Linked DNA regions of Oryzias latipes. The protein of the gene in region 1 interacts with the protein of each later gene in a pairwise test. Links are inferred from orthologs where the notes say so. Each region holds a gene or a part of one and is shown on either strand. Other genes may lie near its edges.

Region 1 (4,218 bases):
TGCTGGAGCCGGATGTAAACCATTGTCTACGGGTGACATCACAACCGCTCTGTCCAGTGAATTCCTTCACTACTCACTACATAGTGGACTATATGGCGTGTTTGGCAAACACCGTTTGCCGTTTTGTAGTGCCGTCCAAATCTACAATTCCTAAATCCAGTGCCCTAGAAATTTCCCAGAAGTCTCTTCAAAAAACCAGTGTGCGTCGATGCTTACTAGATTGGAAAATGTAGACCACAATGCATTGCGTTGGAACAATTTTTGCAAAAAAATTCATTTTAATTTCTTTTTTAAATGAACCATCAACATTTTTATCTTCAGATGACAGTGGACTCATAAATAATCGTCGCTAAACACTCATAAACGCTCACCTTTTTCATTAGGTTTAGCTCTCTGAATGCCTCAGCCCCCCCCCCCCCCCCTGCCTCCACCACACCTCCCCCCTGCTCCTGCTCCCTCTCTCATATCACCTCTCACCCTCATGAACCCCCCCACACCTCCTCACCTTTCACCCCCCTCTGCTACACCAAACCTATTGGGCCCACAGTTCATCACACCACCCCCCTCCCTCCCTGTTTCTCTGTAACAGCCTGCCAGGTGAAGAAGCAGCTGGAGAAACTTAACCAGCACAAAGCAGCCGGCCCGAATGGCATCAGCTCTCGAACACTGAGGACCTGTGCCCACCATCTGTCTGCGGTTCTCCAGCATCTCTTCAACCTGAGCCTCAGACTGGAGAGGGAGCCGCTCCTCTGGAACACCTCCTGCCTGGTCCCTGTACCCAAGAAGTCATCTCCATCTCACCCCAGTGATGTCCGTCCAGTTGCCCTCACGTCTCATGTGATGAAGGTGCTGGAGAGACTGGTTTTGGCTCAGGTGAGACCGTTGGTGAGCTCTTCTCTGGACCCTCCTGCAGTTTGCCTACCGACCCCGTCTGGGGGTGGATGATGCTGTCATCCATCTGCTGCAGCTCACTCACTCACAACTGGATGGTGGTGGAGGCATGGTGAGAATCACCTTCTTTGATTTCTCCAGTGCCTTTAACACCACCCAGCCTTCTTTACTGGGTGAGAAGCTGCTGCTGATGGGTGCCGGTGCGTCCACCGTCTCCTGGATCACTGACTACCTGACAGACAGGCCACAGTTTGTCCGACTGGGCGGCGTCCACAGGGACTCTCTGAAAGGTTTAGGAAAAGCATGATGGAGGCCCTTTACAGGTTGAGGGTAATCATGTTTAGTTTCTGTCTGTTAACAAACCTAAAATGAATGGTTTTTATACTTATTTCAAATGTGTTCAGATATTTGTTTGTGTTTGTAGCTGCCAGCCACCAACAGTTCTTTTTGTTCCGTCTTTTTCCATTTTTATGAATGGAGGCAGGGTCACTTGTAAAGTTCCGTTCGGAACCGCCAGGGGGTACAGCAACATGCGGAAAGAGAGGAGTAGAAAGCCTCTCGCGCAGCATAAAGGCGACGTTCAGAGGCGAAACCTTGCGATTCGTGGTATGGAGCAGCCAGCGGGTGGCTGCAGCCCTCTGATCTCTGTCAGGCTAGGTGGGTGAGACGTGTTTCATCGGTTCAAAGCCAGTTATTATCCCCCGAGTTGAAGCAAACCCCCAGCTTTCAGCCCTGTGTTCTTTGTTGTTTTTTTCCCTCCTCCTCTTCGGGTGAAATCTGACACATCAGCGGCTCTCATCTCTAGTTTGGATGCTGATTCATGCTAATTGGCCTGCGTGGATAGCAGCAACACATTTTCGGAGGGGGAAGAGGTTCCACTCAGATGTCGTCGGCTGTGAAGGAGCCCTAAGCCTCGACTGTGACACGAGGAGCACGCGCGCACAGACATCTCCCACTTTATGAGAAGGAGGACGAGGCTGTAGAAAAAGGTCATCGGAGAGCTGACGGGAATCATGGCAGCTACTTTATCGGCGGAGGAGGAACAGGTAGGCCTCCGCAATGTTTTCGTGGGAGATTAACCTGGAGGGATGTATTTTTTATTTTTTTTCTCCGTGCCGACTTTGCGTCCGAGCCGCGATATACGTGGTGCGCAATAGTGGTTTTGTTGCTGGGAGGGGAAAAAAAAGTCCCGAGAACGAAGCGGAAATATTGTATCGATTTTTGGTGCATTATCGCTTGAGTTGCATCACTGACGGTTCCTGTCCAGCGTCTGGAACGAGGTGTGGAGCCAGCGCCGCGGATGAGGACAGTTTCATCTGAGTTACAGAGCGTGACATGACCGGAAATCATTATAGAGGAAGGGTTACCGCGGACTCACATCTTCGCGATTGGGTCACTCAAATGTTTACACTTGAAACTTGAAGAAAGCCTGTAGAGTTATGGTGGTTAAAGCGCTGTGACGCATTAAATTCGGTAACTTTTTCACCCAAATCTATTCTATACTATGCTAAAAAGTATTATTTAATGTCATCAAACGGGTTACAGAGCAGTTATTTATGAACTAAAAGACCAGTTCTGTCAACTTTTCTCTGTTTGAGTCGATGAGAAAACCGTCGATTTTTGAAAAAATATTTAAAAATTGCACGTTTTCGTTTTAGTGAACATGAAAACGTTCTCAATAACTTATTAGAATAAGCAAAAGCCGAGAAACAATTAAATTTAACTGGTAATTTGGTCGTTGTTTTCATTCCAAATGAAAGGGAATTATGGGAAATTAATGAGTCGACACGTTTCAAACCAGTTTATGAGCTTTCCAAACCATTTTCTTGCCTGATACTGTTGGCTCTCTCATAGCTAATAATACATTTATTGAAATTGGACAGTGCAACTTCAAAACTATGCCCGATTATGGTTAGAAAAGTCAGAATTGGCCAAAAGCTAGTTTTTGTCTGTAATCCTCAGCGAGTTTATGCTTCCAGATAAATTTGACAGGTTCCTGGTGTAAAGATCCATATTTATTTTTTTAAAATTGTTGCATTATTGCTAGAATAGTTTAATTGATTAAAATGGCTCCTGTGAACGCCTGTCAGCAGCTGTGGGAAGAGTTCATAGAGTTGAAGGCCATTTGTTTTCTTCAGGTGTACTCTGACATGTCTGCAGTGTCTTCTCTGTGCCTACTCTTCCTGCTGACTCTTCATCATCTGGCCAGCAGAAAGTGCCTTATCTGCCTATTCCATTTCCTGTGTGAGCCGAGGGCCCCTGCTTCAGAACCGGACGCCCTTATTACATCCACAGCCTGGGGAGGGAGGGAAGCGGGGGTAGTGGTGGTGCTTGGTTGGATTGTGTGTGTAGCAGCCTGGCTCCCCTGTGACCGTACTGTTGTAGTGGAACTTCATTCTGAATGCAGCTGTTAAAAGTATTTCCACTAGACGTGGGGGAAGGGGAACCGAGTGTGTGTCTATCATGTGCTCAGAAAGTGTGTGTGTTGTGTCTACTCCTAGGAAGTGGTAGAGTTGGAGAAAGTGGGCAATAGGGAGACAGTGAACGCGTTTGACTTCCTGTTTGACTCGTGCCAAATGGGACTGGGTGCAGCCATTTGGCAGCAGCTGTCCCACATTTGTAAATGGATCAGCATGGCATCTGTAATCAAATTGATCCGCAGAGGCGCTGTTGAAGGGAGCTTCAGTGATAAAGAGCAAGAGTAGCTTAGTCTGCAGGATCAAGGTGTAGTCGGCTCTACCTCACCCAGGCCACTGGATGTAATTTGAGACCGACGTGGCGTGGAAGAGCTAGTGATTAAAACGCACACACATATGTTTCAACAGCTTTGAAAAGAACCCACATCATCAGGCGAAATGTATGCTTTTTATATGTTGTAACTAGTTGGGTGTGCATGCATGCTCAACTGCAGCTCGAATAGAAAGGGGTGGGTTGAGCAGAGCATTAAGGGCGTGGGTGGCTAAAGTGTAGGCGGTTTTCAGGGTGATATATTTCTTAGTTTAGGGCAAAAACTAAACATACAGATGACTCACAAACTGGAAAGAATAGATGGGGTTAATTATAAAAAGGTTAAATGCTTTGTGCACATCAATGACTTGTATTCATGCCTTTGTAACATACAAGCAACAGCGCAGAAGAGCTGAGGGTCAACTGTAGATGGAATCAAACGCATCTTGTTTTTATTGTCATATTGGGTAAAAAATAATATTTACATTTGTGGTGTAATAACTAATAATCTCAGCCTCATAGTTTGCATGCCATCTTTGTTATCGGTATTACTCGACCCCCAACTGTCTGTTCCTGGGTTTGAAGGAGATGCAAAAGTAT
Region 2 (3,500 bases), on another chromosome or scaffold:
AGTCGACGAGATCCTCCACCAGGAAGAGACGGCTCATCTGCTTCAGGCCTCGGTTGATGTAGGTCAAACTGGCGTCCACGTGCTTGCGGAATGTCTCTGGGGGGATGCTGACATCCTTATTTATCAGCATCCTGCAGAGATGGAATGAGGGGAGAACACAAAATGAGGAAGAGGAGCCTGGAGTTGACTGGAGGTCCGACAGCTGTCAAGAACAACCAGAAAGCATTTTCTCTGTCTCAAATAAAATGTCTTTTCCATTGATCTGAGGGATAAACCTGGTTGCTCCTTATTACGCATCTTTTATACAATTCTTTGACCATCAGAGAAGACCTGAATGTGTCCACAATGTGAGTCAGACTTCTTTGACTCTAAATGATATCATTGTGTCATGAACCGGCAGCATCACTCCAGAGTAAAACAGACATGAGAAAAGAAACACGGAGACGTTCAGAGTCATGCTTTGGGAGAACAACTTTATCTACTTCTGATCAATATGAACACATTTCATTGATAAAAACCCACAGCATACGCCGTATTCCAACACATTTCTCTGCTTTAAAGTCTACACACATGATTATTCCAGATGCTAAAAATCGTCGTTCTGTTAGAACGTCACATATCTGTCATACAAACCTTTTTTTGAAAGCTACCACTCCTGTTTAAAGGGCCTATGTCATGCAAGATCAACTTTTTTTAAGCTGTGTGTGTCATAATGTGCATTATAAGTATATCATGATGTTCATTCCTCTCAAAGAACAACCCCAAAGTGGTATTTTTGATCCATTCATGTTTTTCTGAGTATTCCTCTAAAAACCTGCTCTCCCAATCCACCAAAACGAGTGGGGCCCTACACTGTGACATCACAAAGTGAGGAACCGCCCCTTCCAGGAAGAGCCAGTACCACCCCCAGGCTAACAGACACGCCCACTTCTTCCCAGACTTGAAACGGTTAACGACTTTGGTCTTACTTGAAGGGGTGTCCATCGTTCGACTTTTGCACGGCCTGAAGAACGGACTTGTAGATGCGGAAGGAGATGGTGACAATGAGCAGAGCGAGCAGCAGGTAAGACGCCACGCTGATGACACTGAACGCTGCCAACGACAGCAGCATCAGCAAGGACAGTCCGAACACCACGCCCGACTTCTTGGGGTCTCGCCAGTGGATCAGGTCTTTTACTGCAGAGAAGAACAAGCAGAAGGTTATACTGATGCCGCTTTCCGGAACCTCCTAAAATCCAGTACAAACGCTAAAGAAACACTAAAAGGAGTTTTGACTAGAAGTAAAATCACAAAACAAAAAACAGCACGACTTTGATATACTGCAGCTTTTCTTTTAACTGTCATAAATGAAAGAAATGAATTTAAAGATATAGCTAAACTACAAAAAAAAAAGTTTCCAAAGTCTATTCTGACAACAAAAGCTCACAAAAACGATGCAGTAGATGGGATTTTCTTTGTCGCTCAGGCCCCGACTCAAAAACCTCAACACAAAGCAATCATGTTTGAAAACACTGCTACTCCTAATATAGCTGGAAATGGAAACCATTCAAACCATGAAGTGGCAAGAATCCCCGAAAATGTACGTATAAAAGCTTCAAGCAGTTTGTAAAAATATGCAGAGGAAGGGGCACTTCAAATATTTTAGAGCACCATTTTTACCACTTTAGGTATTGCACAGCATTGTGCTTATTGTAGTTTTCCATTCAATAATCAATGGGCCTTGCTCTCTCTGGTTTCTGCTGAGGTCCCAGTAAAAAGTGGCCTGGTTTCACCATGTGCTGCTTCTAAAGCTTCACACCAACAGCAGCACTGCACTGAGAGGAAAAAGCTGTGGAAGGAAAGGGCGGAAGGTACCGTTAGCAGTCATCCACCACAATGAGGCGACGCCTCCATTTTCCAATTTCTGAGAAAAAGAGAGCTCTTCAAAGGTCCTGGGTCGTCTTTCGACGAGAGCTACCAGGAAACATTTGATGTCGACTGTGTCAATGTTCAAAAGGAGCTCGACAGTCAACAATAAAGGTCACCTAAAGGTTACTGAGGGACGGCTGTTTTCACAAAACACTAAAACATCCCAACAATAGCTGCGTTTCCATCACACAAATGCGCAAAGTTATTTAAATTCTAGAAATGTTGAAGAAACAATTTTTCAATTACAATTTTAAGTTAAATCCTAATTATGTGAATAAACAAACCAACTGACGCCATAAGTCATTTAGAAACACGGCGACGGATGTGAACTATACTTTGATCGACAGCAGATACATTCCGATTTTTGCCACGGCACTAGCGCTCATCATCACCCATCAAAGGAGACGTTGGCGTCTTCTTCAGGCCGTGGAGCGGCGAGTTCCTTCACGTGGGAAATGGTTGGTGATTTTCTAGAGGAGCTGTGGATCCAACAATTCCACATGACACGCTCAACTTCTGATGAGCTGTATGACCTCTGGTGGCGCCCCCTATGCAGGGCTCAAGGTCGCCACTTCCTAACAAGAAGCGCATCGCCATTGACTGACATGTTTCAAAACAGTAAAAACGCCACAGGTCAGAAATTTAGGTTTCATCTTGTGAGGAAATACTTTATGGAATGTAATTCCATTTTAATACATTATTTTTGTTGGAAGAAGGCTAAAGTGGACCCTAGTCTTTCTGACGTTTTACTTCATGTTGGACATTTATCAAAGTCAAACATATTACTTTTAAACGAGCTCCGTAATCCAGAGATTTTGCAGATTTCTTTGCACTTTAGTAAAGGTCTTCCTTCTTTAATAGTCTATGTCCTTATAAAATCGTTTCTAGTGTGTTTTCCTGCAACTGAAATGTGAAGTTTGTGTATTTTTATGAGAATTGCTAATTCCTTAAAGGTTTTGCAGATGAATAATCCAGTGGTTTTGAAATTAAGTTCGTCCAATGAATACACCCCCCCAGCATGTCTCTACTCCCCCCACCCAGTAAGCTGGGAAAAACTGCATCGGGGCAGAAACCTGACACGGGGCTGGTGGGGGGTGGTGGGCTGTGGCTCACAGGGCTTCAGGGCTCCTTAAGCCGACTCTAGGCCACCACATTTAGACAGGACTCTACTCCAGTTTAGGGGCTATGATGAGTTTATATGGGAGTGTGCCCCCCCCAGATGAAACTCGTCTGTGACTAATCCACAGCCACAGTCCAGCCTACTGTGGTACACTTCGCGCTACTCCAACAGAATTTAGTTTAGAAACTACAGATGTGTTTATGATGCACATCCAGCTTGAAGTTAACATCTTTGTATCCAACTGTTGCTTTACATTTAGCGCTACATATATGCTATGCTATGCTATGAGAGCCCGCTCACAGCAGTTGTAACTTCATCCACCCAAAGTAATCTTTCACAAACAGCCATTTGCTGGTGATCTAATGTTTGAAAGCAGTTTCTGATATCTAGACGTTATTAGACTATCAGAGTCAATAGTTAGAAAAAAAGTACCTTCTTCATTTAACCATCTTAATGCGGGTTTACAGTGAGT

The links. The genes of interacting proteins can lie anywhere in the genome.
Region 2: the proteins of ptpn9 (region 1) and reticulon-3 interact in binary tests that used the Homo sapiens proteins (3 or more experiments, as listed by UniProt). The two-hybrid records come from large-scale screens. The link is inferred for Oryzias latipes from reciprocal best matches to the Homo sapiens genes PTPN9 and RTN3.

What each region holds. Positions count from the first base shown.
Region 1 is NC_019864.2:10,371,308-10,375,525, forward strand, and holds the start of ptpn9 (tyrosine-protein phosphatase non-receptor type 9), read left to right. Parts: upstream 1-1,418; 5' UTR 1,419-1,548; intron 1,549-1,621; exon of another isoform or gene 1,622-1,696; 5' UTR 1,697-1,904; coding exon 1,905-1,937; intron 1,938-2,269; exon of another isoform or gene 2,270-2,364; intron 2,365-4,218. UniProt on the Homo sapiens protein: Protein-tyrosine phosphatase that could participate in the transfer of hydrophobic ligands or in functions of the Golgi apparatus.
Region 2 is NC_019876.2:28,990,963-28,994,462, reverse strand, and holds part of reticulon-3, read right to left. Parts: intron 1,177-3,500; coding exon 969-1,176; intron 132-968; coding exon 1-131. UniProt on the Homo sapiens protein: May be involved in membrane trafficking in the early secretory pathway. Inhibits BACE1 activity and amyloid precursor protein processing. May induce caspase-8 cascade and apoptosis.